Linked DNA regions of Pelodiscus sinensis. The protein of the gene in region 3 interacts with the protein of the main gene of each other region in a biochemical or structural test. Links are inferred from orthologs where the notes say so. Each region holds a gene or a part of one and is shown on either strand. Other genes may lie near its edges. The genes, in order: MAPK10, RUNX1, JUN and ATF2.

Region 1 (7,923 bases), on a different chromosome or scaffold from region 3:
CCGTTCGGGCAAAAGTCCTTTTGCGCAAAAGCTTTTGCGCAAAAGGGCCATTGTAGACAGCTCAGATTTGTTTTGCACAAAAAAGCCCCAATTGCGAAAATGGCGATCGGGGCTTTTTTGCGCAAAAGCGCGTCTAGATTGGCACGGACGCTTTTCTGCAAAAGCTTTTTTCTGCTTTTCCGTTAAAAGCATTTGCGGAAAATCATGCCAGTCTAGACGTAGCCCTGGTGTTTAAAAACAAAGGCTGCTTTTCCTAATGGTTCCATGACAGATCAGCATAGTCTAGTTCTCAGTGGAAAAATTAAAACTTGCATCAACCAGGGAACAAACAGAAACATAAGACTTGAATTCCAGTTAGCTACATCTTACTCCTACTTTGCATGGGCAATAGGTGAAGCTGCTGCTAGGAGAGGCAAACTTCCCACACTGTGGCCCTGCCCATATTCCACCCCTGCTTTGACCTGGACCTGGCCCTGCCCCCTCCCCACTGTCTCCCTCTTCTCTTCCCCTCCCCTTCCAGACTAATCCATGGGTGTGTCTAGACTACAGGGTTTTGTCGATAAAATTTGTCTTTAGACACACTCTGCTTGGGTGCGCTCTTTTGAAAAAGTGGCTTGCTTTTTTCAAAGTACTGATTGCAGTCTAGAGGCTCTTTTTCGAAAGAGGCTTTTAAGAAAGCCACATACAGACATGGGCATGTCTACACACTCGAGGCACCACCTGGTCCTGGGCACAGCGCTGCCAGGTGCAAGGGTGTGTGTGGCACTTATAGACTCATAGACTTTAAGGTCAGAAGGGACCATTATGGTCATCTAGTCTGACCCCCTGCACAGTGCAGGCCACAGAATCTCACCCACCCCTCCTAGAATAATCCTCTCACCTATATCTCAGATATTGAAGCCTTCAAATACTTTGAAGACCCCAAGATGCAGAGAATCCTCCAGCTGTGATCTGTACCCCATGCTACAGAGGAAGGCGAAAAACCTCCAGGGCCTCTGCCAATCTACCCTGGAGGAAAATTCCTTCCCGACCCCAAATATGGCGATCAGCTAAACCCTGAGCATGTGGGCAAGACTCACCAGCCAAACACCCAGAAAGTTCTCTATAGTAACTCCTATCTTCCCACCATTGACCTATTTCCCACTGATAATGAATGGTCAATTAGTTACCAAGATCATGTTATCTCATCAAACCATCCCCTTCATAAACACATCTAGTTTAATCTTGAAACCAGATAGATCTTTTGCCCCCACTACTTCCCTTGGAAGGCCGTTCCAGAACTTCACTCCTTTAATGGTTAGAAACCTTCGTCTAATCTCAAGCCTAAACTTCCTACTAGCCAGCTTATATCCATTTGTTCTTGTGTCCACATTGGTATTAAGCTTAAATAATTGTTCTCCCTCCCTGGTATTTATCCCTCTAATATATTTAAAGAATGCAATCATGTCCTCCCTCAGCCTTCTTTTGGTTAAGGTAAACAAGCCAAGCTCCTTGAGTCTCCTTTCATAAGACAGGTTTTCCATTCCTCGGATCATCCTAGTGGCCCTTCTTTGTACCTGTTCCAGTTTGAATTCATCCTTCTTAAACATGGGAGACCAGAACTGCACACAGTATTCCAAATGGGGTCTCACCAATGCCTTGAATAATGGCAGTAACACTTCCTTATCCCTACTGGAAATACCTCGCCTAATACATCCCAAGACCGCACTGATGGAAGCCCAGGCACCTTGAGGCACCCCTCCTGGCCATTGGATCCCAGTATGGCTGGCCATTTCCCTTGCCTGCTTGTCTGTAGGATGTGGTGGGTGGAAGCATTGTCCCCTGGGGAGCACGAGTAAGACAGGGCCCGCTGTCCAGGCCATACATGGCCTTTCTCTTGGGACATTACCTTCCTCTGACCCGGGAACTGTTGCTCTCAGCTCACAGAGGAGGGCAAAGCTTCAGGGACAGTGTCCCCAGAGATGACTGACCGCCTCCCTTTATTCTCCCGAGGCAGATCAGCCATGAGAGTGGGGCAATTTACACCACCCGAGCCAGCTGCCCAACTCTGGGAGAGCTGCAGGTGGCGGAGGGTCCAGGAGGACCTGATGAGGGAGCACATCTGCATTCTGAGAGACATGCAGCAGACGCTGGCCCAGAAGGTCCAGGATGATGTGCAGTGGCCAAGGGCATCCCATGAGCCTAGGCGAACTACGCAGTTCCCTAGAGAGCACTGGCCTGGGCGCCCCGTGATGATGTGATGGCCATTAACGGTCGTGCAGGCGGGGTTGCAGAGGGGGCGCCAATTGCACCGCCTACCTGGGGCTCCAGCTGCTGCAGCCGGGCTTGGGCCGCTCCTGGCAGTGTCGGACACAGATGTGGAATAAGCTGCTGCAGCAGGGATGCAACATATGTGCGACCGTCCAGGATCTCCTGATGCACCTGGAGCCAGCTCCTGCTCTTGCTCTAGCTCTAGTCCTGGTCTCTGCTCCTGCTCTAGTCCCGGTTCCTGACCCCGCTCCCCCTCCCATTCCTGACCCCGCTCTAGCCCCCTCCTGCCTATCCCCCTGACCTCCCTGGAATCTCCCACCCCCAAGGTCGCCAAGGTCTCTGCACATGAGGCTGAGGGAGCACTCAAGCCACACATCTCTCTCAGCCCCAGCTCTGAACCTCTCCTCCCCACTTCAAGTTTCTCAGCCCCTTTCCTCCTCCCTCCAAGCTTCTTAGCCTTCTCCCTCCTCCCCATTTCTAGGTTCTCAGTCCCCCTCCTCCCCAGTTACTTCTACCTCAAATAAATCACCACAAAGTTCTGTTTTTAACAACCAAGCAAGTTTTTTTTAAATTGTGTGTAATGTAGAAAGCTCCTACTTGAGAGATTGTGCTACTTCCTGAGCACAGCACTGAGCATGCCCAGACACACTGAGCATATTCCTATAAGGTAGGAGCTTTCGACATTACACAGGGCTCTAGTTGGAAGGCCCTGGGAAGAGTGTAACTGGAGAAACCCTCCCCTAGGCTTCCTAGATGCACACCTTTGCTTGATAGGCCTGTGTGTCTGCTCAAGGCCTTTCCGTCCCGGCTGCTCTCTGCCCCCCGTTTCATCCTTATCTCCCTGCTTAGAACCTATGTAAAGGGGTACTTTTCCATCAGGAGCAGCCATCCAAACAGATTACTACAGACGCCTCGCTGATGGGTTGGGGTGCACACTTCCAACAACAAATTGCACAAGGGAAGTAGTCCAAAGACGAGACCGTATTCCACATAAACCTGCTCGAGCTTCGACCAGTTCAGAACGTGTGCAAACACTTCCTCCCACACATCCAGGACTCTTTGGTGCATATCCCCACTTACAATATGACTGCTATGTTCTACATCAATCGCCCTGGGGGTGCAAGATCCCAGGCATTATGTGCAAAGGCAATCAAGCTATGGAATTAGTGTATCCACAAATGAGTCACAATCGCATTTGCATATTTGCTGCGGAACCGTTTTTGCGCAAAAACAAGCAGTGTGGACATATTCTTTTTGCACAAAACCCCTTTTTTCCACAAGAGCGGTACACCTCCTTTTTTGGGGCATAAGGATCTTGTGGAAAGGGGGTTTTGCGCAAAAAGAAAATGTCCACACTGCTTGTTTTTGCGCAAAAACCCCAGCGCAAAAATGGACCGGCAGCAAATATGCAAATGAGAGTCTGACTCATGCAAATGAGTCTCTCATTAGCATATTTTTTTGCCAAGAAAACTCGTAGTGTAGACATAGCCTTAGCATGTCTGGTCAAATCATGCAATGCAGTCAAAGAATTGAAGAAGAGATGTTCCTTTTTTCCAGTTCTGAAGAATGGCAGATTTCTGCCATGGACGGAAAGTCAGCTTGCTGAATTAAACTAGAAATTACTAGTGGCTGCATTCACCTAATTTAACACTGTTTTTTTCAGTGACAGTCTCCCTTTTTGGCCTTGTTCACTTTATAAATATTGTATATGCAGAAAATATCAATCTGTTTCTAAGGAGAAAATAGCATCTGGGGCTGCTTCTAAAGGAAATATGTATTTCCAGCATATAGTGTGCAGTAGGAGCCTGTTCTGAAGGCCACTGAACTAATTTAGCCAATTAACTGGGGTCAGGTCTAATGAACTTAGATTTTCTATCAATTTGCTACTTTTGAACTGTTAACAGCATACAAAAATCTGCAGTTGCTTTATTCCAATGGAACAATAAATCTTCAGAGCATATAATGTAACACTCTTACAATGGAAATGAATACATATGTCACACTATTTATAATTTAAAGTAAGAGACTAACCAGTAGGAGTTAAATAATGTGGAACACACATTTTGTAATTGTATGTGCAGAGTTCTCATCTTAATGGAAAAATAAGCTGTTGGAAGCATTTCACTTTACAGTCCTTCATATCCTGTCACTGCAGAGTGAATTCCACTGAGCACTATTACAGAATTTTAAGAGCCATGTGATGAGATGACCATGCTCAGACAAGAAAGGGGAAAATTCTCTGCAAAGAAAGCCAGGCAGATTACCTACCCTACCTCACAGAATCTGCTGTGCTTGCCAATTAAGGAGAGAGCTTCCAGCTGGGTTCATAAAGACACATGCTGAAGTGGGAAAAGGAAGCACCTCTTTGTACTTGTTCAGGGAGCTGTTTTTTTGTTTATCAGCTGTGAGCTGAGCTGAGACTTTGAGGTCCTGAACAAGGGGTAAGAGGACTAAAATAAGATTTCTGGCAAAATCTTCATTTTATTTCTCTTTTACTATTGTCTGCTGATGAAGACTGGAAGGGTTTGGGCTGGAGACTTAGGAGCCAGGAAAGCTGGTCTATGATTCAAGTAGTCCTAAGGAAAGAATGAAATGGATGTTTGAGGCTGAAGCTGAGGGGCCATAGCCATGCTGTTAGTGGAAGGTACAGGCTTCCCTATGTGTTAGCAGTGTCTCCAGGAAGGGTATATACACATGAGCAGCCCTGAAGCCATGGGCAAATGATTGTTTGTTTGCAAAGATCCAGTACTGAAGGGAAAGACATTTGTGTCTTCTGTTTAAATGGCTGCACATCCTGGAAGGGAAGGACTAAGCCAACCTACTAGCAGAAAGAGACTATAGATTAGTGAGAGAAACTGAGGTATTGGTGTACCTGTTAATGGAGAGGTAAGGTGACTCTGTATACCTAGCAAAGGATAATAGCAAAAATACTCCTACAGAGAGAGTCCAAGTAAAACAGAGAAGAAAACTTGAGAATTGCAGAGAGAAGTGACCCACACTATTGGTGGGCTTAGAGAGGCAGGTGAAAGAATATCTCTGATTGTCCATAATGGAGATGAGAGCCAAAGTGGGGGAGCGGAAAGGGTGGACAATAAAGCCTGAATACAGGAAATAGAAACCCTATTTAAAATTTTTTTTTACTTAATTGGATTATTGGAAGTGCAGTGAAGCTGGGGGTGCTGAGGATGATATGAAGCCACTTTTTGGAGTGAGTAGTTTTCTCACATCTTTTATCCATATTCTCATTCGGGATGGTGAATTCACCAGGTTCTCTCCATTCTGACACAGTGTAGTGCCTTTAAACCTCACTGTCAGCAGTGGGGATATTTACAAGGCACTGCTTTTACATTTGTATTCAGGATCTGCGTGTGCCCTGAACTGTCCCGCTCCCCGCTGGCTGATTCTCCCCTCCCCCCCTTCTGTCCTTTCCCCGCCCTGTCCCTGCAAGCCGATTCTCTCCCGATCTCTCCTGGCAAGCCTTGCTACCCCTGGAAGCCCTGCTTCCGCCAGCTGGTTCCTCCGGCCTCCCTGCAATCTCCCGCAGCCAGCCTCACTGCCCCTGCCAGCCGGTTCTCTCCCCCCCGCCCCCCACAATTTCCCTTAGCAAGCCCCACGGCTCCCACCCTCCCCCCCCCCCCGGCCAGCCCTGCTTCTGCCAGCTGGTTCCCCTCCCTATATCCCCCGGGCAGCTCCACTGCCCCGACCCTGCTTCCCTGCGGCCCATATCCAACTCCTCCTCCCTCTACAGCCAGCAATAAGAGCTCACCTGGTAACCCTCACTATGCCTCTGCCGGGAGCCTGAAACATATGGCTGCATCCGCCCAGCCCGGCTGAGGGTTTAGGGAACCCAGCGCTGAATGGGCAGTCTGGGAGCCTGGAACACCCTGGGAGCCACGCTGAGGCCCACTATTTTTTTCCCGCGGCCCATATTGGGCCGCAGCGAGTCCATAGTTTGAGAAATGCTGATTTAGATAATGGCATAACTAATATTCTTATAGGCTGTGTCTAGACTGGCCAGTTTTTCTGGAAAATCAGCCGCTTTTCCGGAAAGACTTGCCAGCTGTCTACACTGGCCGCTTGAATTTCCGCAAAAGCAAAAAGAAAAAAAATTCTTCCTACTGTAAGAAATCAGTGCTTCTTGTGGAAATACTATTCTGCTCCCGTTCAGGAAAAAGTCCCTTTTGTGCAAAAGGGCCAGTGTAGACAGCTCAGATTTGTTTTCCACAAAAAAGCCCCGATCGCGAAAATGGCCATCGGGGCTATTTTGTGGAAACGCGCGTCTAGATTGGCACAGACGCTTTTCCGCAAAAAGTGCTTTTGTGGAAGGGCGTCCGTGCCAATCTAGATACTCTGTTCCAAAAATGCTTTTAACAGAAAACTTTTCCGTTAAAAGCATTTCCAGAAAATCATGCCAATCTAGATGCAGCCATAAAGTTTGCAGATGATACCAAACTGGGAGGAGTTGCAAGTGTTTTGGAGGATAAGATTATAATTTAGAATGATCTTGAGAAATGGTCTGAGCTAAGTAGGATGACATTCAATGAGGACAAATGAAAAGTACTCCTCTTAGGGAGAACAATCAGTTTCACACATGCAAAATGGGAAATTACTGTCTAGGAAGGAGTACTGCAGAAAAGGATCTAGGGGTCATAAAGACTGTAAGCTAAATATGAGTAAACAGTGTGACACTGTTGCAAAAAAAGCAAACATCATTCTTGATTGTATTAACAAGAATGTTGTAAACAAGATATGAGAAGTAATTCTTCCACTGTACTCTTCACTGATTAGGCTTCAAATGAAATAGTTTTCTAGTTCTGGACACTACATTTTAGGACAGATGTGGGCAAATTGAAGGAAGTCCAGAGAAGAGCTTCAAATATGATTAAAGGTCTAGAGAACATGACATTGAAGGAAGATTGAAATAATTGGTTTTGTTTAATCTGGAAAAGAGGAGACTGAGAGGGGACATAACAGCTTCCAATTACCTGAAAGGTTGGTGAAAGGAGAGGGAGAAAATTATTCTCCTTAGCCTCTGATGACAGGACAAGGAGCAATGGTCTCAAATTGCAGCAAGGGAGGTTTAGGTTGGACATTAGGAAAATCTTTTTGTCAGGGTGGATAAGCACGGGAATGAATTTCCCTTGGGAGTTGTGGAATCTCTGCCATTGGATCTTTTTTAAGAGCAGGTTAGACAAACACCTGTCAGGTATGGTCTATATCAGTGGTCTTAACCTTACTGCAGCCTACACCCCTTTGGTTCTCAAAATATGTTCTTGCACCCCTTATTAAAAATCATTGAAGTAGGTCAGTTCTTTAAACCTAAGAGATATCATAAAAATCTGGCATGTCTTGCACCCCCAGAAAGGGCATCTCGCACCCCCAGGGGTGCGTGCACCCCAGGTTAAGAACCACTGGTCTAGATGGTGCTTGGTCCTGCTGTGAATGCAGGGAACTGGACTTGACCTCCTAAGGTCCTTCTCAGTTCTTCTATTCTATTCTATGTTTAGATTGGACATTAGGAAAAACTTCCTAGCTGTTAGGGTAGTTAAGGACTAGAACAAATTACCTTATCAGGTTGTAGAATGAGATTAGACATTCCCTATCTAGCTAGTACTTCATCCTTCCTTGTGCCAGGGACTGTACTAGTTGCGCTACCGAGGTCTTTTCCAGTCC
Region 2 (7,334 bases), on a different chromosome or scaffold from region 3:
TTCTTCTTCCTGAAAATCCATTTACCCCGGAACAACCTTTCACCCTGGTGTCAACAGCCCCAGCAGCTCCCCTTGCTCCACTACCCCCACCTTGCCAGGGTCCCCAAGCTGACCCAAGCTGAGTACCTCCACTCAGAGCCAGTAAGTTCTGTGCAGCTTCATTTCCTAGTAGGGATGTAAGCGACTAGTTGAGTAGTCGACTAACAGATAAGCCTAGGCTTCTTGGTTAGTTGAGTTGATGATTCAAGTACTCACATCCTTCCCTTCCCCCCGCCCCCCTCTTCCAGGCACCACCACCTTCCACTGCCTCTGTATCACAGGCAGCAAAGGGGTGGGAAGCAGGAGCCAGTGCTGGCAGGAGCTAGCTTAAAAAGCGAGGGATGGGGAAATTGCCATGTACAGAAGATTGTCCATGGCAGCCTGGGCTGGCCGCAGGCAGAAGATTCTCCGGCAATAGCTTCTGTCCGCAGAGGGTCCAGCTCTGTGCTGGGGTCCCCCATGGACAGGGGCTGCTGGACCCAGAATGAGTCGTGACTGAGCAAGCCTAGCTCTTACTAGATTTAAACTGCAGAGTCTCATTGGGTATGTCTACACTACAGCACTAATTCGAAATAACTTAATTCGAATTAGTTAATTCAAACTAAGCTAATTTGAACTAGTGCACCTAGACCTAAAAACTAGTTCGAATTAGCGTTTTGCTAATTCGAACTAGCATGTCCACATTGAGTGGACCCTGAACCGGGGTTAAGGATGGCCGGAAGCAGCGCTGGCAGGGCATCAGATTAGGACTTAGAGCGTGGAGCTGCTGTCTCAGGCTAGCCGAGGGCTGTGCTTAAAGGGACCCGACCCCCACCCTGGACAGACAGTTCTCAGGGTTCCTCTCTCACTTGTCTAACTTGATGAGGGACAGCAAAGCAGTCCTGGCTTGGAGTGCCCTGAGTGCCCACACTCGGCACATCACAGCACTGGGCCATCAGACCAGCTGCACTTGCCGCAGGCTGCCATCCGGGGAGGGGGGTCAATCAGGGGCCTGCAGAAGAGCTTCCACCCTGAGGAGCCCGCAGAGCCACCCCAGTCCTCCCCATCAGGGGCTCGTACCCCATTCCTCCCTCACCTCCTGCCACTTACCCCTCCCTAGCCCCCCTTCCTGATATACAAAATAAAGAACACGTGTGTTCAAAAATAGAAACTCTCTTTACTTTAACAAAACTCGGGGAGACTGGGAAAAGGAGGTGGGAGAGGGGAAGAGAGAGGGTGGGAGAGGGGAGGGCAACTAAAATGATCAGGGGTTTGGAACAGGTCCCATATGAAGAGAGGCTAAAGAGACTGGGACTTCTCAGCTTAGAAAGTAGGAAACTAAGGGGGGATATGATAGAGGATATAAACTGAGGGGGGATATAAAAGCACGAGTGGTGTGGAAAGGGTGCATAAAGAAAAGTTCTTCATTAGTTCCCATAATAGAAGGACTAGAGGACACCAAATGAAATGAATGGGTAGCAGGCTTCAAACTAATAACTGAAAGTTCTTCTTCACAAAGCAAATAGTCAATCTGTGGAACTCCTTGCTGCAGGAGGCTGTGAAGGCTAGAACTGTAACAGAGTTTAAAGAGAAGTGAGATAAAGTCATGGAGGTTGTGTCCATGGAGTGCTATTAGCCAGGGGGTAGAAATGGTGTCCCTGGCCTCTGTTTGTGGAAGGCTGGAGATGGATGGCACGAGACAAATGGCTTGGTCATTGTCTTCGGTCCATCCCCTCCGGGGTAGCTGGTGTTGGCCGCTGTCAGCAGACAAGCTACTGGGCTAGATGGACCTTTGGTGCTCAGAGTCGGGGGTCTCACTGGACCACCTTGATTTTCATGCAAGCCTGCTCCTGGGTGGCCAGGCTCGAGCCGTGCCAGGTACAGGGTCTGCTGGCTGGGTGCTGGAAGGCTTGCACCTGGCACGGGCACCGTAGCCAGTCCATGCCCCTTTAAGGGCTCTGGGGCCGGGAGGGGGGCAGAAGAGTTTCCCTGGTGGTGCCCAGAGTGGCCACCAGGGAAAGCTGGGGCGGGCTAGCCTCCCACTAGTTCGAATTAAGTGGCTACACAGCCCTTAATTAGAACTACTTAATTCAAACTAGGCGTTAGTCCCCATGGAATGAGGTTTACCTAGTGCGAATTAAGCGCTCCGCTAGTTCGAATTAAGTTCGAACTAGCGGTTTGTATGTGTAGCGCCTATTAATGTTAATTCGTTCTAACGTCTGTTAGTTCGAATTAACTTTGTAGTGTAGACATACCCATTGGGAGTAGCTCCCGGACCCAACACAAACAGGGACAGAGCGCCTTCCCTTATTGACTAATCATGTAGTCAATAACAATTCTATCGTCTACACGATTATTAAAATACCCACGTCTTAACATTCCTATTTGCTACTCCTGTTGCTTTTTGGGGTAACGAGTGTTGACTATACATTTAAGATTATGGTTGTATGTACAGTATTTGCAAATACAGAAAAAGCTCAGAGTTACAAGCACCAGACCATTTAACCACAGACTTCATCTAGAACCAGAAGGATGCAATCATGCAGCAGCAGAAAGGGGGAAAAAACAGAGTAATGTAAACTACTAAAAAAAGGGGAGGAGTTTAAAAATTGATAGGGAAAGGAAACTGTCTGAGTGCTTGTTTCATTTAAATTAAACAAGCACAGAAACAGTTAAAAGCAGCATTGGTTAAAGCAGCAGATGGTGAAAAGCAGCATTCTTCTTCTGCATAGTAAAGTTTCAGAGAGGTATTATATTCAACTGTAAACTTTTGAAAGAACCAGCATAACGTTTTGTTCAGCATTACAACCAGCCTCCATTCCCGAGGTGTTTGTAACTCTGAGGTTCTGCTGTATGTAAAGTGGATCATTAGATTGTTTGTACAAAATGTCCTCCATGGTGTGGCACAAAAGTAGCTAGCTGTGCATCTCTCTCAGTGAAGAGGGTTGGAAACTCCCTCAATGAGTAATTCTGGAAGCAATTCTGTTGTGTCACCTTTTCATCCAATGCAGAATATTTGTGGTGTTAGCTATTCACTATATTTTTGGTGCACGATTATGAAAGTGAGGGAGAGAAAAAGGAATGAAAACACAAAATTTGTCATTGAACTCTTCATCTGGCCTTACAAGATGAATTTAAGGAATTTGACACCCTGGGAGACTCATGGAAAAAATCAGTATTTTTAATGTTTATGTTTTATTATTATTTATTTTATGTATTTGTTTAATTTTTACAGAGAGACATTAACTGTCTTTCCTTATCTAATTCATTTTGCTTGCCCATGCACAGCTATGAAAAGCTTATAATAGAAATATTTTTGTATGTATGTAGTGGAAAATGCCAATTTAAACAGGATGTTTGAGATCAGAAGGACTGACCCAGAATCTGTGCTGGGACAGACATGAAAGCATAAAAATTTCATTCACAAAGGTTTTCTGGGGCCACTTTTTTTTTAAAGCCTAAACAGAGTCACGCACATGCTGGCTCGGAAGCTCCCACAGTGTTTCCAGAGCCGAGCTGATTGCTTTCAAAGTTATGCAGAGCTACATCCTCAATGGACAGCAGCCATGAACAGGACTGGGAACAATTACCAGCTGACGGAGAAGTTCGTCGGCAGTGGGTACACTTTTGCCAGCTACTACCCTTGGATGGCCCAGGGAGAAAGAGGCAGAGTCAATTCCACGCCTACTTGTTTCCTTTCCCGTCTTTCGCCACAGTTTCAACTGATTTTGATTACTCTGGCGCCAAATAAATGAAAGCATCTCATAGACATATAATCATCCATCACTGTGAAGAAAGGAAAAATGCTTATGTACGGCATGTTTATAAATACACTTATATGAAGAAAGGATAGCTCTGTCGTTTTTAATCTCGTGCTGCTGGGTAGCTAGCTGAATGTCATCAGGGCAAGCTGCCTGTTTTATTTTTTCTTTAGTCCTGACATGGTCTTAGGGGCACACTAGTGGAGCTTGTGATGATAGGAATTGAGAGATCTGTCCCCTCCACAGTTCTAAAGGTTAGTGCTGATTGGAGGTAAGTGATCGGAGGCTTTTGAAAGCAGGAGTCAAGTGTGTTCCATGCATATATATTGTAACAGGACCACATCAAAGGGAAAAGGGACTCTTAACAGATTTAGTCTGAATAATGTTGTACAGCCCAGGGTAATAAAATGATTCCATCGGGGAGTTGAGTCAATACCAAGAGAAGAGGAGCAATAGAAGTGACAGCTAGTATGCCCTTTGCATGTGTGTGTGTGTGTGTGTGTGAGATATGTAGGCATTACTTCATACGTTATGTGCTAATATTCCTTGTAAAAGCATGCAAATCTTTTTGACTATTTGGCTACAATAGAAAAGCTGTTTATAGAACATGACATTATTGCTACTTTTGGTTTGCACTGCACGGAAGAATGTCTTTTTTAACAAGCGCAGCATTTTTAAGGCAACTCTTGAGATATTATTTCCTGAAAAAAGAAAAGAAAATACTCTTTTCCATGTTGTGTGCTGAAAATAGAAGAAAATAGCATGAAAATATTATCAGACCATGTAAATTTAGCTTTTTGACCCTCATTCATTGTATGTCATATCAACAGATCTGCTGATATGCTGCTATTTGCATTTGACTTGGACACACAAACACTAGCAAAATGTTTGCCCTTTGTAAACTATTGTCTGTGCTTGGCTTCATAGAAATCATTAATGCAAAACTTCTCTTCATCTGAATCTCCAAAAAACATTGAGTGGGAGAGAAAAGCTTTCAGTAAAATGGCTGAAATGCTGTGGCAAAAATGTGATAGTACGATTGTTTTGTGTCCAAATGTAGGTATAATCAAATTGCACCACATTGTGTTGCATGGGAAGGGCAGAAAACAGAAAGAAAGGCTAATTTGATTATACAGACTACTTCTGAATTGCTAACCCTTGGCAGTAACTTCCTAAAAAGAGGGAGAGTAGTAGGCAAAGTCCTTAGCCCTTTTGACCCCACATGTAGGTCATCTCTTTATTATGGCACAGAGAATATTGTTAATACTTAAATTATTTTTTATATAAGCATTACATAACTAATGCAGCATGGCCAATGGTCATAACCTTTTTGTGAGTCTTGGTGTTTTTCAGAAAGCCCCAAATCCTGAAGACAAATGATGATATGAGAATCTCAGTCTTTTATTTAAAATTAGCTCCAAAAGGAAGTTTCTAGCACCTATGACTGCAGAAAAAAATTGAAAACATGTTCCAGTGTAATCTTAAAGCTCAAAATCCTGAACATAAGCTAAATTAATCAATCAAATTAAAAGAACTTCAAATTTATTTTAAAGATGCTCTCATGCATTTTGGGGGCCTGACTCATGATCTCTGAATGGAACAGGGTTTGCAACACTATCAACAGAACAATAGTCAGAGCTGGATGTTGACTGCAGTCTAGAGCTATGTCTTCCAAAATGGAGGATGACCTTTGCTTCCTACAACTTCACCTACATTCTTACACAACTATAACTCCTTCTCCCACTGGTGGCAGCTAACAGACTTCACTGGCTATGAGGGGGGGCAGAGTAAATTGCATGCTTTAAATGGTATTATTAAATTAGTTTTCCAACATCACTACTGCCACTGCTACCACCATCTCTGTAAATGAGAGGGATAATTGGTCTTTGATGCAGGATGCTTCCTAGCTCACTCCATACCACCCCTTGCATCCAGCTAAGCATGCTTAACAGCCATAATTTAACTCTACAAGGCTATTTTCTTCCTTATTCCTACAAATGAAAGAAGGGGAAATGGAATGTATCCTAGATATAATTGCTATTTGCATATGTGCCCTAAAGAGTTAAAACAAAGCTTCTCCAATCTGGTGTGAGTGCAACAGCATAGTTACATAAACCACACCTGCATTCCCACACTGGACATATGGATCTGGTGAGCAAAGTAAAATATTACCTTAACAGACATTTTCATAATGAGTCTGATCTGCATCTAATTTAAACCAGACAATTATTTAAAAAAAAGTAAATGGGGATTGTCTTTTACTTGCAGGATTAGACCAAAGTGAGTGTTATTCACATATTCCTCAACTTAGACAATTTCATGGCTATTTTCCAGTCTCTCATACTGAGTCATAACTATCTAGCCACTCCTCTTGGCTTACTAGCTACTGTACTGACTGAGCCAGTATCTCAGTGGCAATTCTTACATGATTGCCTCAGGCCAGTCTTCCAGGATATATACTGTTTTATCCCTGAGTACCTTTTAGTAGAGGTCAGAAGGCTGTCGGCCCTTTCATAGATTTACTCGAGTGACGTTACAGCAACACAATTTAAGACTCAAGTGGTCTAATTAAAAACAAGAAAAAAAGAAAAATAAGCTTAAAACAGACAAAAAAGTCCTTCTCACATATCTAGTCCTTTACTCGGCAAGACTGAAGCTATGAAAAACAGACATGAAGTGGACTTGTGGTTAAGACAATAAATCGTGTCTCAGGGTTTAGGGGTTTGGTTCCAGACTCCTGTGAGACTTTAGGCAAATCACTTAACCTTTCTGCCTCCGTTTCCCATTTGTAAAATTGAAATAATTTCTTGTCTGTCTTGTCTATTTAGATTGTGGCTCTTTAAGAGGGGGATTCTTGCATACCGTGTGTTTGTACAGTGCTTAGCACAATAGGGCTGTGGTCTGGGATAGCACCCCTATACTCTACGATAATACAAATAATAAATGAGCAGTAGTGGATCTTGGTTTAATTGTAGAAGTACAAAACTGTCACTTTACCAGAGGGCTCCCTGCCTTTCTCCTGTGACCTCTTCAGTACTCCAGTTTGTCTGAGGCTATGACTACACAGCAGTGTTATTTCAAGATAACTGACATTATTCCTAAATAACAACGTCCATGTCTACTGTACAAGCAGTTATTTTGACATAATGTCAAAAGAATGTCAAACTGGAGGACTTCTTACTCCGACTTCTGTAACCTGCATTTTACAAGGAGTCAGGGAAGTTGGAGGAAGAGTGCTCTACCTCGGACTTCCTGCTGTGTAGACAGCGCCAAAAGCCAAAATAAGCTATTTCGACTTGAGCTATGCAATTGTCGTAGCGCAAGTTGTGTAGCTTATTTTGGCTTTAGTCCTGCTGTGTAGACATCCTCTGAGACACATTCTTCTTGGTTTTCCCCGTCTTTACCTCTTCCAGTCCAATTATGCCTTTCAGGTGTAATTCCTTTCTCTCCCTTATATCCATGGGCTGCGTCTAGACTGTCATGATTTTGCGGAAATACTTTTAATGGAAAAGTTTTTCCATTAAAAGTATTTTCGCAAAAGCACGTCTAGATTGA
Region 3 (8,070 bases):
CAAAAAAAAAGTGTTCACTATAAGAATGAAAACAGTAATTGATTCATTTTTTTCTTGAGACCAAATATAATTCACATAAAGATTATGTGTATGAGAAATTTTAATTTATCCCTCAAAAGGCCATTTAATTATTGAGATAATCTGTTTGCTTCTTGCAGCCCTGTATTGATGGATTACAGAACTCTTGAAATGAAAATCTGTATTATCGTTAGTCAAGGCATCTACCTGCCGCATCAATGGAAATAAACAGTTAATTTCCAGTTCCTTCTCACAAATGGCTCAGTAAGCCCCGGTTTACACTAGGGAATTATTTCAAAATAACTCCCCTTATTTCAAAATAAGGGGCTGGTTATTTTGAAATAACAACTCCTGCTTTCCTCGGGGAATAAGCTTATTTCAAAATAGTTATTTTGGGGGATATTTCAAATTTAGTTATTTCAAAATAATTTCCTATTGTAAACATGCCCTAAGTGTTTTTTCATCTCACTACACTAGTTATTTCATGAGATCAGGAAGGGGCTAAAGAGTGCTAAAGTAATAGCTGATTCAGGAATCTAGTCATCTACCATTCCAAGCTCTCATGGCCATGGAGACTCAAAATCTCTGCACCAATAGGGCAGATTCACCTTTTCTGAAAGTATGTCTACATTGTAAGAGTGAATGTGTCTCCATGTCCAGGTAAATAGCTATGTACATGTTCTGCTCATGCTAGTGCACAAAAATAAGTATGGATTGCGTGACACAGGCAAAGGGTTGGACTAGCCACTGAGTATGGACTCTCAAGGATGGACTTTTTTATGGGCGGCTAACCTGTGTTGCTATCTGTGCCACACCCTTCACATTGCTATGTTTAGCACACTAGCTTGAGCAGAGCTAGTATGTGTCTGTCTATGGGTACGTCTACACAGCAACATTATTTTGAAATAACTAGCGTTTACTCAGCAGGCAGTTATTTCGAAATAATATCGAAATATTGTCAAGCTGGAGGACTTTTTACTCTGACTCCTGTGACACTCATCGTACAAGGAGTAAAGGAAGTCGGAGGAAGTGCTCTATTTCGAAATAAGTGCTGTGTAGATGTTCCAAATTTCAAAATAAGCTATGTAATTGACGTAGGTCAATTTGCGTAACTTATTTTGAGTTAAGCCCTGTTGTGTATATGCACCCTAACAGAACAGCGAGGTACAATCCCAGCTGGAGTGCACACAGACTCTTCAGTTTCATACTACTGAATGAATCTCAGTTTGTCTGCTGGGTGCTAAACCAAGATTCTCAATCTTACACTGAGCAGACAGCCATCATTCATTTCAGATGAATGATATTTAGGCTTGGTTGAAAAAGCAGGAAGAAACAGACAGCCAAGAAACAAAGTCACATTTTCTTTGGTTTCAAAGCTGTCCATGTATACTCAGCATTTATGACCAGCTTGACTGTCTGTTGCTCAATTTCCCAAATACCCTCTAAGTGAGTATCAGTTAACATAATTAATGTTTGATGACTATCTGCCCTAGCAATAGGCCATGGCAGCAACTTGTTCCCAGTGAAACTGGAATGACCTACTTTGACCCCGTCCATTTCTGAAACTCCACCTTTGTGACAGGAAGGAAGTCAAAGCCTGCCTGCAGCAAAGTGGGTGAAAAAACATGAAAAAAAATTCTACACAACAGTATACTAGCAACCCACTCCAATACTCACTGAATCAATGGAAAACTTGTGTTGACAACAGGGCTGTTGGAACAGACCCGAATGGAGCAATAATCTGTTTTTCAGTTCATACACATAAAGTTGACTAAAAAGAGGCCTGAATGGTACATTGACTTCCTTTTTTTTTTTTTTTGGCATTACATCTTAACTTGGGTGTGTAATGTTAATTTGTTAATACCCAAGTAGTTATATACATAAATATAGTGTTTCTGGACAAATTCAAGATTACTGCAATCTTATTTAACACTGTTAAGATTTAGAGCTTATCTACGTGAGGAAAATTGACTGGAATATCTGTTTTGCAATAAATCCCCATCCAAATCCTCTAATTCCAGAATAGACACACCTTTAACGTGCCTTTAGCCCAAACCCTTAGCTATATCTAGGTACCTAATTTCTATAAATTTCAAAGGGACTTAGGCACTTAAAAACCTTTGACAATCTCGGCCTTTCTCTGGTTTAATTTAACAATGGGTTAAGCAAATGCAAACAAGGTGTTCTTATTCTGAAATAAGTGTCCACAAAGGGAATTATTTCAGAATAACTAGTGTTTTAAGCTCACACTCTTCCTTTTACCAGAATAATATCCACTGTAAAAAAAAAACCTTTAAAAATTTGATAATTGTACTTTGACACAAAAGATTACAATAGCATCAGAGCTGGTAGTGAGTAAAATTAAACATTTCCCATTGTTAAACAGACAAATGAAAACTTTGAAATGTATCTTTATGAAATATAAGTTTATTTGTAACATCTTGAGTGTAATTTTGATGAAGCAGGGAGCCGTTAACATTAAATTAAACAATTAGGCTGTGTCTATATTGGCAAAATCTTGCTGCCTGTCTACACTGGCTGGGAGTATCAGCGCAAGAACACTAATGTAATGTACAAAATCAGGGCTCCCGTTCCCGCTCAGGGATAAGTCCTCTTGCACAAGTGTACTTGCGCAAGAGGCCAGTGTAGACGGGCAACATCAATTTCTTGCGCAAGAAAGCCCGATGGCTAAAATGGCCATCAGAGCTTTCTTGCGCAAGAGAGCATCTACACTGGCACGGATGCTTCTGTGCAAAAGCAAATCTTTTGTGCAAAAGCACATGCCAGTATAGATGCTCTCTAGTGCAAATACTTTTAACGGCAAAACTTTTCCGTTAAAAGTATTTGCGCAAAATCATGCCAGTGTAGATGCAGCCTGAGTGTGTCTAGCATCGAACAGGCTGATAACAGATTTCGAGACAAATGTATATGCAATGACACTTCTGATTTGTTAAGCTATTTAACAGTTGGAATTCTGGCTGCATGCTAGCACACATTTTAACTTTTCTGGAACACAGGAATATCTTGGTTACATGTACTATGGCAAGACATAGAGAATAATAGGCAATATATTCAGGTGTGAGTTTAGAATTTCACACTAGGAACTATTACTCCAGATGCTACAAAGTGTACACTTGTTCTCTGTACACCAATTACTTTCCAAAACCGGCAGTACTAGCTCTTTTGCAAGTTAATATACTACTCAAATTCAAGTGGAGGACACTAGAAAAAAAATGTCAAATGGAAAGAAGAAACTGGGAGATCATTTAGAAAACTAATGGACTATGATGTTTACTTCTGCTTTGGGTTTGTATTTCTTTTTAATCCCATTTGAAAATTTAACCAATTGTTATGTCTGGAACAAGAACAAAAAAATCCTAGAATGTTTCCCTTTTTCAAGTACTTGTTTAATCCATGAAATAACAGTCCGTTTTGCATTTAAGACGTGATTTAACAGGATGGCCACATTCTCTTCTGGAGTACACTGGCAAAGTTCCATAGAAGTGCGTCGATTTACACCACCAGATAATTTGATCTACGTAACTTTTATAATTGCTTTACTTGTTAGGAGCGTTGGCCACGTGTTTCTGCTCGGCAGAATATGATATAATAGTCTTCCAGCTTCTTGCCCCGTACCCGTGCGCCGGGTGGTGTTAAGCAGCTGCTCCCTCCCACCTCAGCGGTGGTGACATCTCAGCGCTGCCTTATTTGCAAAGAGCTTTATAGATATTCACAAACGCTGCCTCCCCACAAACTAGTGAGACTGGTCGGGAGGAGGCAGCCCTGTCTGGGTAGCAATGTGCAGCACCTGCCAAGAGCGGCAGAGCATTGGCGGGGGTGGGGTCGCTCCGTGGGAGGGCGAGGACACTTTTTTCCCGCGTTTCCCGGAGCGCTGCCGCATCCCAAGAGGCGCAGCACTTTGCAGAGGGTAAGGTCGCAGGGTGGGGAGAAGCCCTGGCACGTCGCCAGCAGCACGCCCCCGCCAGCGAGGCAGGCGCGGCTCCCGCTTGCCAAAGGAGCCACGTGGGCTCCGCCCCGTCCACGCTCCGCAGGTGCCAGGCGGGAGCTGCCAAGGTTTGAATGCGGGAGGCGGGAGCCCGGAGAGCTCGGGCCCGTAGCAGGACCCCGATCGCGTATCTCAGCCGCTGCTTCCCGAGCAGGCGCCTCCCCTCCCCAAGCGACAGCGGCTGCCCCCGTCGGAGCCAAGCGGCGCTCCCCCGGCGCTGGGCAGCGCTGCCGGCCGGCCCCAGCAGGGAGGGGAAGAATCACGTGCGGCTCAGGGTCATCCCTAAGCTGTCCCCAGCCTACGGCTGCGCCCAGACGTCAGTGCCACCTTAAGGACCGTACCACCCCACGGGGGGGGAGGGGGAGTCAGAATGCAGCCTAAAGCGAGCCCCGACGCGAGGCCCTCGATGCACCCAGCCCCCTGCTGGCAGACTGAACCGTGAAGACTCAAGCAGTAGGATTGATTAAAAACTCACTAGCCACCCCGTGTCCAGGGAGCAGGTCGGTCTGTGTGCCTTTCCCACCCCCCCTCCGTCCACAACTTGGTGCTTGCTGCCTATTAAGGAGGCTCCCCCTTCCCAACCCCGCGCGTCCAAGCGCTCTTCAGCGGGTAACCAGAGATTCAAAAACAATACGTCAGCCCACAATGCCCCGCGGTGAGCACAAGCATTACCTCATCCCACAGTGCCCTGCGAGGGAGCTGAGAAGCTTCTAGGGGTGGGGTGACCATGGAGACCGGCTCCTTTGCAACAGGCCGGGCCAGCGGCCCGCCACCCCCCTGAGGTGCCGCCGCAGCCAATGGGAAGGCCGCGGGGTGACATCATGGGCTATTTTTGGTGGGTTACTGCTCGCTGATAAGTGTTGGGCTGCAGGCCGGGAAAGGGCTCAGAGTGTGCGGCAGGCACCAGGGCAGCAGCAGCAGCACTAGCAGCGGCGGCGGCGCCCAGCGCGAGAGGCGGGCACGGCAGCGCGCGCGGTTAAGTGCCTCGGGTTGCGGCGGGGACCCGGCCAGCGCAGCCGCGGGAAACGTGGTCGCCGCGGCGGGCGGAGCTGGAAGCCGAGACAGCGGCCGCCCGTGGAAAAGTCCTTGGGACAGCTCGGGGGTGCGGCGCGGCGAGCCGCGGCTGGGACAGCCCGCCCCAGGGGCTGCAAGCGCCGGGCGCCCCAGGCACCCTCGCAGCGGGAGAAGAGGGCAGCCGAGAGCCTGGGTTTCTGAGCCTCCCACCCCGCGCGATCCGGAGGGGAACCTGCCTGTCGGACACTTACTCCGGAGTGAAACTAGAGCGAGGCTGGATTTCTGCTCCGTTCCTCGCCGCGCAGCGCCGTCCCAGACACCACAAGAACTTGACACCAGCGCGGCTGCGACTCCGCGCTCAGGCTGACTCGCTTGTTGTGGTTTGAAAAAAGTTGAGTCCTGACCCGCGGAAGAAACGGGGAAAGACCCGCCAGCCGCTGCCCTGGGGGATAAAAAGAAAAAGTAAGACTCGAGCCGATCGTTACTTTTCCAAAGCTTTTTCGTTGTTGAGTTACACCGTTGCCGTTTTGTATTGAAAAAGGTGAACTTGCTTTGAACGGGACTTGGCAAGCAAACGAGTTTCTCCCTGCTTAATTGTAACTGCTTCAAAGACAGTTTGGTGGACTGTGTTCTATGACTGCAAAGATGGAACCTACATTCTACGATGATGCCCTAAATGCTACCTTTGTACAGCCAGAAAGTGGTGGTTATGGATATAATAACCCTAAAGTCCTGAAGCAGAATATGACACTAAATCTGGCTGATCCTGCCAGCAACCTGAAGCCCCACCTCAGGAACAAGAATGCTGATATTCTTACCTCCCCAGATGTTGGTCTCCTGAAGCTGGCATCTCCTGAACTGGAAAGGCTAATCATCCAGTCCAGCAATGGCTTGATCACCACTACTCCCACCCCAACACAGTTTCTGTGTCCCAAAAATGTTACTGATGAGCAAGAAGGGTTTGCTGAAGGTTTTGTGAGAGCTCTGGCAGAGCTACACAATCAGAATACGATGCCCAGTGTTACAACTGCTGCCCAACCAGTTAGCAGTGGTATGACACCTGTTTCATCTATGGCTGGCAACAATGGTTTCAACACCAGTTTGCACAGCGAACCTCCAGTGTATGCTAATCTCAGCAACTTTAACCCTAGCGCACTCAGCACAGCACCTAACTACAATGCAAACAACATGGGCTACCCACCTCAGCATCACATTAATCCACAGATGCCAGTGCAGCATCCCAGGCTCCAAGCTCTGAAAGAAGAACCTCAAACTGTACCTGAAATGCCAGGAGAGACTCCTCCACTGTCCCCCATTGATATGGAGTCACAGGAGAGGATCAAGGCTGAGAGGAAGCGCATGAGAAACAGAATTGCAGCCTCCAAATGCCGGAAAAGGAAGTTGGAAAGGATTGCCAGATTGGAAGAAAAAGTGAAAACTTTGAAAGCCCAGAACTCAGAACTGGCATCCACTGCCAACATGCTCAGAGAACAGGTTGCACAGCTTAAGCAGAAGGTCATGAACCATGTCAACAGTGGGTGCCAACTAATGCTAACACAACAGTTGCAAACATTTTGAAGATACTGACTTGGGGTGAAAAATCTATGATGTTGCAGTAGAGCAACAGAAAAAACAAACCCATAACAAGTGGCAGATTCATAAAGCTAATGGTAAAGGCTTGAGAGGCATTGAGTCCTGCTTGCACCCCACAAAGTACATGTGTGGAAAGACTGGCGAGCCTTCAACAGAGCTAGTAGCAAAACAGCACCACTCTGAGAAGTGCTGTTCCTGCTCAGATGATACATCAGATCTTTGTTTAATATTGACCAAGACCTGCATGGACCTAACATTCGATGATCATTCAGTATTAAAGGTTAAACTGCAATAGAGACTGTAGGTTGCTTTCTGTAATACTCTTAAAGAAAACACAAATGGGAGGGAGGTTTGTGGGAGGCTGATAAAAACAAATATACTGCCTGCCTTCAAGTAAATTGTGTATGTACATTTTTTTTATTTTATGAAAGCTGATTAATGTCAATAAACAACTTCATGACTTTGTAAATTATTTTTATGTTTGTGTTCTGTCCAGTAATGTTTGTAAATGAGGGTTTTTGAGCACTCTGAATTTACCATTTGTAATAAAGTATATAATTTTTTATGTTTCTGAAAAAAGTCCAGAAAGGTTCTATTATATTTAAGAAAATATAAAAGCATTAATAATGCATTTCCTTCCCCTCTTCCCTCCCTCCCCCTCCTTTTTTACCAGTACCTAAATCAGGACTCGTATCACACATGCTGAACTCTCAGTGGTAGAGAATGTTTAACTTATACTGTAACAAGAAGACACGTTCTGGAGAATGTGTTCAAGTGAAAAGATAAACCATACCCTGTAACATGAACAGCAAATAATGTATGTATTTTAAGTGTTTTATGGATTTAGTTCAGATTGGCTTGCCTGTCATAATCCCATATCACAATATAGACAATAGCTTTAAAAATTAAGCAGTTTGGGGGGGTTTGCTATTTGCATCAACTTGCCCTGTCCTATACTAGTCTGAACTGTAACTATTTCATATTACTTATTAAAATAATATCCCCAACACCATATTTTAGGTAGGAAATTTAACAAAAAGGTATCCTTCAGTACTGTCTAATTATTCAGAAATAAGAGGTGGTCTTTGTTCATGAATACTTGCTGTCACAATAAAATTCTGTAATCCCTTTCCCTATGTTGAAATCTTTACCCTTTTAGACATTTGAATATTAAAATGTATTTACCAATATGTAAACTGGGGAGTTTTAATATAATGGAGAACATATGTAACTATAAATTGAAAGAATGTAAATAAAAAAGGAAGACATTCAGGAAGGACAAAAAAAGGAAATTGACAATTTACCTGTCATTTTCAGTTTGCATTTAAATAATGGAAGTATGAGACCACTTTTGAGGACAGAATGAAAACAAGCAGCAGTTTAGACAAGTCAACTCATCTGAAATAAGCCCATGTTTTTGGTAAAATAATTCAGGATTT
Region 4 (7,986 bases), on a different chromosome or scaffold from region 3:
GAGCAGTTCCCAGCTGAACTTCAGGCTCTGCGCAGCAGCAGAATCCAGGGTCAGCTTGGGACTCCCTGGGCTCCGCTTGGCCAGGTTCCACATGGCATATTCCCAGAACCTGGGATCAGCTGAGGAGTGACACTCCTTGGCAGATGCCCCTTTGAAACGCACCTTGGGGTTTCAAAGCAGCAGTGCTGCGCAGCCACATTGAAGTACCTCTTCTTCCCCCCACCTCCTTTGGCTGCCTCTATATAATAGAAGCAGCCAAAAGTGGGGGGGGGGGGGGGGGAAGGGGAGAGGAGGGCGGACATTGACTAGTCAATTGACTATCTGATAAGCATTTGCTTATCGGATAGTCAGCTAGTTGACTAGTCTTTAATATCCCTAATAGAAGTGTAAGTTAACAGTGTCCGATACCATGAAACTCTATATTTGGTGTACACACACACACACACACACACACACCAGTAACATCCCATAGCTCCAAGGAGGAACATGGACCTATGTGTACCAAGATGCAAGAAAGCAGTACCTGCCTACAAGGGCTTACAGTGTAATTTAAGACAAGACATAGCAAGAGAAAGTATCAAGCAACACGGAATGGTTGAAGAGACTACAGGGTCACTGTAATAAGATGATGCAGTTAAATAAGCTAGCTAATGCACACAACTTGACTTCAGGAAGTATCATCATATTATGCTTGTCACAATGAAAGTCTTCAATGGGTTCTTTACAAATGGGAATTTGATAAACATTTTTTGAAAATGGAAGCATACTAGGACGAGTTCAGATTAAATTTCAGAAAAGCAATACATATCATGAAATAGATAAAGATTGGCACATGGCTTTTATTTGTGATCACAAATATCCACAGACAAAAAAAAGATGAACTACAATGGCTAAAAATGGAATTAAATCTTGACATAACAGGCACATCAGAAACATGGCCAAATGTCAAAAGTTAATGGAATACAGTATTATCTGGGCATATCCTATCCAAGAACAAACTGTGTGGGAGCAGCAGTGAACCCATAAAGATTTAATATAATCAAATAAGATAAAAATTTCTGAGTAAAAAGGAGGATACATGGCAGAATCTGTATAGTTATAAAATGCCTAGTGAAGACTACAGATATCAACAAAATTAAACTTACCAACCTCTAAGTCTGAGTAAAGACATTGTGTGTGCAATGAAGATCAAAATATTAATGTACAACTTTAACTACCCAAATATAAAATGATAAATAGGTTTCCTACCCTCCTGCACAAAATGCATTTTTATTAATGTAAATTTCTGACAGTAACCTTTAATGTAACAATAAGCCCCAATAATGTTTTAGATTTTTTTTGTTCAAGTTCACTCATTGCAAAAAGGCCCTTTGAAATATGCTAAGTGTTATTTTCATGGCGCTTTAGTAGATTTTATAACTAAGAGATTAGAGCATTATTCTACCTAATCCAGTAACTTCTTCTCTGGTTCTAGTTCCGCAAACACTTGCTTTAAATAATTGAGCTACTACCAGTAATGAAGTAAAGTTAAATTTATGCATAAGTGTCTGCACTATTGGGCCTCTAATAGCAGCCACTACCAGATACTTCAGAGAAAGGTTTAAAAAAAGTCTTGCATTTCACAATTATGGAAACACCTGTCCACAGGGTTCCCCCCCAGCTGCTACTGGTTGTCTTATACTCTAAAGCAATAGCTGTTTTCCCCTCCTAAAATATTTCAAATGGAAGCACAGAGCTCTTTGGAAATTTTAGACATGGTTTGCAGTTCCCCACGCCCCCGCAGGAGTCCATGGACCACAGGCTGAAAACCACAGCCATCGAGCATAATTTGAATCTTATACCTTTTTACCTTATCTAAACTAAATGTGGATATTCTCAGTAGACACAAAAATGGCTATTTTAATCTGCCTAAACTCTTGCACTCAGAAATTGCTTCTGCTGTTGTCCCAAACTAAATCCAAGATTCATTGACTAGGATATAAAGGGAATAAAGATTTTACTAAAGGCAGGGAAAGGATGGAAGATAGAAAACAAAAAGCTCAGAATTCAATTATTTGGAGAAAAAGATAAGCATAGAATTTACTTTTTTGGGGGGGGGGGGGGAGAGAGAAAAGGCATCCAAATTACATGAGATACAAGAGTATCCCAACTCATTTCATTTGCAAAGACAGTATTATTTTGTGTGAGGGAAACCAAAAGATTGCAAATTGTAAAATAAATTTACTAGGTGGTGGGAGTGGACATGACAACACATTAAGTTCCTAGTACCTACAATAGTGAACAATCCTGAGGCAAGAGATGGGCCCCTCAGGGAAGATGTTCACAACCTTCAATATAACTATCATGCTTTGAATGTCTGGGCATCAGCTCTGCCTCTCATAAAGAGTCCTCCAAAATGGGCCACAATAAGTGAAAGGTTATTGAGAGGACCCTAAAGAAAATACCTACAATTGGCAGCACAGTGTCGAGCTCCCACTCAACACAGTCACAATGGTGATGTGCCCCAGCAGAGCACTACAACCCAGGCCAGGCTGGAAGTAGGTACAGGCCACACAATCGCATCGGCACTTACGGGCAACAGAGCGACAGCCCCCTCTCTGGCTCTGCCCTCCCCTTTTAGCACTTGCTGAGGGCACCTGGGTCTCCTCTCCCTCCACCCGCCCCTCTCTACTCTCAGGCAGTCACAGGCGAAGAGAGGAACCTTCCCGCTTCTCCTTTGGCTCGGTCCCGTCGCAGCAGGGGAAGGGGCAGGCCCACTTTACCCTTGCAGGGGAGAGCGCCCCCAGCGCCCCCGGGGACGGGTGGGAGCCGGCTGTATCTATCAGGGCAGCCCGCTTCCGGGGAAGAAGCCTCGCCCTGCTCCCCAGCCCCCTCCTTGGGGCAGCCGCAGGGACCAGCCTACCTCGGGGGCGGGTAACAGTCTCCTGCGCGCTGGCTCCGGCCCGAACCCCGCGGCTCTAAGGGTGGCGGGGGCCACAGGCGGGGGTCTCCGTGGAGAGCGGCGGCGCCATGTTAATACCTCCCGGGCACCCCCACTTAGCCCAGCCCAGCCCGGCCCGGCCCACGCCGCCCCCTTCCCTCGCCCGCTAGGGCCGAGGCGCCGCTACCCACAACACCCCGTTACAACGCGCCAGAGGCGCTGCCCTTCGCCGCGCTCTGTTTACAAACTCACCCGGGGAGAGGGGCCGAACCGCACATTAAAGGCCGGGTCCCCCATAGGCTTCCGTCCCTTCTCGCGATAACTCACTGGCATCCCCCCCTCCCCAGGCCGAGGGAAAGGGGTCACGTGATCCACGGGAGTTGCAGCTGGCGGTAGCATAGAGAAGGCCCCTGATTGGTTTGCAGGGTGGGGCCCTCTAGTGTCTGGTTGGCCGGAAGCGCTCAATTGTGGGGGCGGGGATGGACGCCTGTAGGTGGCGTTTTGCTAAGCTGGTCTTCTCAAAGTCGAGCGGCTGGAAGGGCAACGTTAGCGCCGCGTCTCTAACGACTGGCCCAGGGCTGCTCCCGCGTCCGGGTTAGAACGGAAGATAATGCGGGGGAGGAGGGGCATGACAGAGGAGATTTAAAATCGACCTCGTGACCGTTTTGTGGTAATTCAAAGTGCATTGTCTTTGGGGGCAGGGGCCGTCATTTTGTTCTGTGTACAGCCCTGGCAGCACAGTGGGGTCCGGGTGGGTCCCTGACTGAGGCTCATCGGGGCTATGATAATACAAATGAATTATGTTAATTAGTGTTACCCCACTCACGTTAACTCTCTACTATCCTGGGCCTAACACAAGGGCAGCAACACTGCAAACAACGGTTGTTCTTTGAGACCCTGTGGGATAAAGATTATAGTAGGAGCTTTATATAAATGTAAAATAATTTGTGATTGCTCATTGGGCTTGAAAGGCTCAGAGCAGGAAGCAATGGGGATCTTATACTTTCCAAATAATAGATGCTGGGAGTGCTAGAAGTGGTTTCCATCATAAACAGGGTTTGTTAAGTGGTTCTCAAAACTCTTGACTGTAGAGGCTGTGTCTAGACTGGCAAGTTTTTCCGCAAAATCATCTGCTTTTGTGGAAAAACTTGCCATCTGTCTACCCTGGCCACTTGAATTTCCGCAAAAGCACTGACGATCTCATGTAAGATTGTCAGTGCTTTTGCGGAAATACTATGCTGCTCCCGTTTGGGCAAAAGTCTTTTTCTGAAACACTTTTGCGTAAAAGGGCCAGTGTAGACAGCAGAGATTTCGTTTCCGCAAAAAAGCCCCGATCGCAAAAATGGCGATTGGGGCTTTTTGCGGAAAAGCGCGTCTAGATTGGCCACGGATGCTTTTCCGCAAAAAGTGCTTTTACAGAAAAGCTTCCTGCCAATCTAGATGCGCTTTTGCGAAAATGCTTTTAACGGAAAACTTTTCTGTTAAAAGCATTTCCGGAAAATCATGCCAGTGTAGACGTAGCCAGAAAGTATACCAAGCCAACACCCTTGTTCCAACTATACCACTTTTCTTTCATAGCCATTAGCGCCAAGAGATAATTTGTTCTGTGGGGACAGGAGGTAAGAACAGACAGAAGAGGAGAGACAAAGGTGGATCAGAGACCGAAGACTGCCACAGATGTGTGCCACTGGAAAAATCTGTACAGTAAGGCTACGTCTAGATTGCATCCCTTTTTCGTAAAAGGGATGCAAATTAGACGTATTGCAATTGCTAATGAAGCGGGGATTTAAATCTCCCCTGCTTCATTAGCATAAAAATGGCTGCCGCTTTTTTCAGCACGGAGCTTTGCCAGAAAAAAGCGCCAGTCTAGACGCGGATCTTTCGGAAAATAAAGCCTTTTCTGAAAGATCCCTTATCCTCTTATTTAGAAAAGAGTGATCCATTAAAAAGGAACAGGATAAGTCTTCTGGTTAAGCTTATTCAGCATGGATAAGTGATCCAAAGTTAGATACTATCTCATAATAGCAGATTGAAGTAATTCAGGATTACTTGGCAGGTTGTCTATTGAAATTATAGTGTGTAATCATGCCCAGAGGTTATCCTAACTTAATGCACAGAGGTAGAAGTGAAGTCATGTTACAGTGTGAGCATTTGAATGAGCAGATGCTTTAACACTGAGAAGCGAGGTAGGCGTACTGCCGGACAAATCACATTTTAATTTGGACCAATTCCCAATGTTATCTGGAAGAGTATCTTGGATACAATTTGGTTCTGAGTCCATTGTGGCAGGAAAGCAAGAGTTGCGTTGCTCAACTTTTACTAATAGGTAGAAGGGCATGGTTTTGGATATATAAATATTCTTATTGCAGGGGTTTGGAGTAAACTAATAAAAGTTGCAGTCATTTGTTAAACCAAAAAAACAATGTTCAGAGCCTTTATTTACAACATGGTATAGTTGTAAAAATTAGCTAAGGCATGCTCAAGAAGCAAAATGACCACTGAATGACTAAATAAAACAAATGTATAAACATATGACAATTATGTACAAAAATTACACTTCAAAACTGGTAGGGATCTGGAATACCAAACTATATAATAATTTCATTATGCCTTATGAAAATTCTGACAAGGAAGAATTTAGAAATTTTCATGTGCAGGCCTTATCCTCATATCATTCTTACCTACTGACACACAAGGAGTATTTTCTGAATTATAACTAGAAAAACTTTATAATTATTGAATTTGTATTTTCCATGCTTTTAAATATAATCGTTAGTCATTATGGGTGCGTCTAGACTGGCAAGATTTTGTGCAAAAGCGAGTGCTTTTGCACAAAAACTTGCCAGATATCTACACTGGCAGCTTGAATTTGCACAAGAGCACTGACGTTCTAATGTAAGAATTCAGTGCTTCTTGCACAAATACTTTGACACTCCCGCTCAAGGATAAGCCCTCTTGCGCAAGAATACTTGCGCAAGAGGGCCAGTGTAGACAGGCACCTTAATTTTTTGTGCAAGAAAACCCGATGGCTAAAATGGCCATCAGAGCTTTCTTGCGCAAAAGTGCGTCTATACTGGGCACGGATGCTTTTGCGCAAAAACATCCGTGCCAATCTAGACGCTTTTTTGTGGTAATACTTTTTATGGAAAAACTCTTCCGTTAAAAGTATTTCCGCAAAATCATGCCAGTCTAGACACAGCCTTAAATGTATGTGATCACTCTCAGCATTGCTCCAAGTTTTTTCACTTATTGGCCAGTTTGGTTCCTGGCAATTTTGAGGGACTAGGTCACTTCTGTCAACAATCTCCATAGGGGTCAGACAAAGTTGCTAAATACCTTGTATTCTATGAAAATGAACCACAGGGAATGTACCCAGAAATCGCTACATTTCAGGGTTACACCAGCATCATCATCAGTATTGATGTACACTGAGTGCAACTGCCCACGTGTAACACTCAATTGTCATTGTTCTGTATGACCGAGCTCTAACAACTTGTGATGTTCAAAATTAGACTGCGGTGATTTTTAAGTTGACAATGTCCTTTTAAATAAAATACAAAATGTTAGCTAAAACATTTTGAATTTTAATTAGAAAATTCCAGCAACTACAGTACTAAAAGCATCTTTGTGGCTGATCCAAGACAGCAAGGAAAGTTTTATAAACGAAGCAGGAAAATGTTATGTAATTTAAACATTGCTTATTGCTACACTGAAGTGGTAGATATATTTTTAGCTCTTCAAAATGCAGTCATAAGTTTTACAAATACTTGGACTGCAAATTATATATATAACAAAATGTTAGTGTTATCAGCAGAACAAAGTGTAGTCCACATGGTCACCTGAATCCAATTAATATTAGTGAGTCTCACAGTTAACAGGGCAATGAAATTTCCTCAAGACTACAATGCCTAAATAGGGCTGGCTGGTATCCGGTTTTGAACTGGAGAGTCCAGTATTTGAGCTTTCTGTTCGGGAAACAAATTGAGAAAATATAAATGTCCAGTATTTTCTAAATAAGATGTAATGTAGATTGTGATTTAATGTCACAATTTTTGTTGAAACCATCCGGCAACCTTATGCCTAAAATGTAATGGGGAAAACAAAAGGATCTTTCTTTACAAGTTTGTCTTTTTGAACTAGAATGTTTATGTCCTTAAACAATGCAGCAAAAAAGTATTGCTATAAATTTTAACTGTTTCCTTTAGTTATGTAAATTTTTATTTTAATTATACCTAAAGCAATAGCTCAATTACACGTAAAAATTGAATCTATATTTCACATTTAATTGACGTATCTGAGGCTTGTTGATCATTAAGTGACAGTAAGTATTCCATAATGGGTCAGACAATGTCGACTCAAATCGTATTTCCATCTGAAACATTTAACTTTCGTAGATACAAATGTAGCAGCTAAAATTCCTCTGAGAATAAAGAATAAAATGATTTTTTTCCAGTTTGTCAATTAGTGAATTATCTGACCTCTCAGTCCTCATCCTCAAAGGAAATCTGTGCATCATCTTCAAAACACAAACATGGGAGCTTAAACTCACAACTTTGTTAGACTAAAAATCATGGACTCAGTAAAGACAGTGTTTTACATGAGCCATACATTCAATCTATAATTCACCCAATCCTCCTTCTTTGTCCTCTGACTACATAAGTGTTAATCCTCCAACTTCACCTTGCATGGGTGCATTACAACATTTGTGATGCTAAACAATCTGTCCATCTTGTATTTAGCTGTGATACTGTGAATACTTTCCCCAGACATGAAGAAGAGCTCTGAATAAAGTGCAAAAGCTTGTCTTTCAACAGCAGAGGTTGGCACAATAAAAGATCTCACTTCCCCCATCTTGTCTCTCCAATTAGTTGTATAATCATTATCACAGAAAAAAGAACAGGAGATGCATGAGAAGTGTCTGCAAGCATGTTTGGTAATGTTATGTATGGGTCCACCAAAAGAACCCTTTAAATAACAGCAGACCCAGGACTGTTTTTTTTCAGTGTGTAAAGTGCTTCACACAATGAGGTCTTAAGACATGACTGGGATTCTTAAGCTTCAGGGGG

The links.
Region 1: of the proteins of JUN (region 3) and MAPK10, one has a biochemical effect on the other in vitro, tested with the Homo sapiens proteins (7 studies listed by BioGRID and IntAct, with this or other methods). The link is inferred for Pelodiscus sinensis from reciprocal best matches to the Homo sapiens genes JUN and MAPK10.
Region 2: the proteins of JUN (region 3) and RUNX1 form a complex in vitro, tested with the Homo sapiens proteins (2 studies listed by BioGRID). The link is inferred for Pelodiscus sinensis from reciprocal best matches to the Homo sapiens genes JUN and RUNX1.
Region 4: the proteins of JUN (region 3) and ATF2 form a complex in vitro, tested with the Homo sapiens proteins (4 studies listed by BioGRID and IntAct, with this or other methods). The link is inferred for Pelodiscus sinensis from reciprocal best matches to the Homo sapiens genes JUN and ATF2.

The regions. Positions count from the first base shown.
Region 1 is NC_134715.1:13,816,506-13,824,428, reverse strand, and holds the start of MAPK10 (mitogen-activated protein kinase 10), read left to right. Parts: upstream 1-4,552; 5' UTR 4,553-4,691; intron 4,692-7,923. UniProt on the Homo sapiens protein: Serine/threonine-protein kinase involved in various processes such as neuronal proliferation, differentiation, migration and programmed cell death.
Region 2 is NC_134711.1:184,931,127-184,938,460, reverse strand, and holds the start of RUNX1 (runt-related transcription factor 1), read left to right. Parts: upstream 1-3,976; 5' UTR 3,977-3,991; coding exon 3,992-4,050; intron 4,051-7,334.
Region 3 is NC_134719.1:14,319,237-14,327,306, reverse strand, and holds JUN (transcription factor Jun), read left to right. Parts: upstream 1-4,763; 5' UTR 4,764-5,671; coding exon 5,672-6,616; 3' UTR 6,617-7,761; downstream 7,762-8,070. UniProt on the Homo sapiens protein: Transcription factor that recognizes and binds to the AP-1 consensus motif 5'-TGA[GC]TCA-3'.
Region 4 is NC_134717.1:44,025,356-44,033,341, forward strand, and holds the start of ATF2 (cyclic AMP-dependent transcription factor ATF-2), read right to left. Parts: upstream 3,298-7,986; 5' UTR 3,173-3,297; intron 3,166-3,172; exon of another isoform or gene 2,903-3,165; intron 1-2,902. UniProt on the Homo sapiens protein: Transcriptional activator which regulates the transcription of various genes, including those involved in anti-apoptosis, cell growth, and DNA damage response.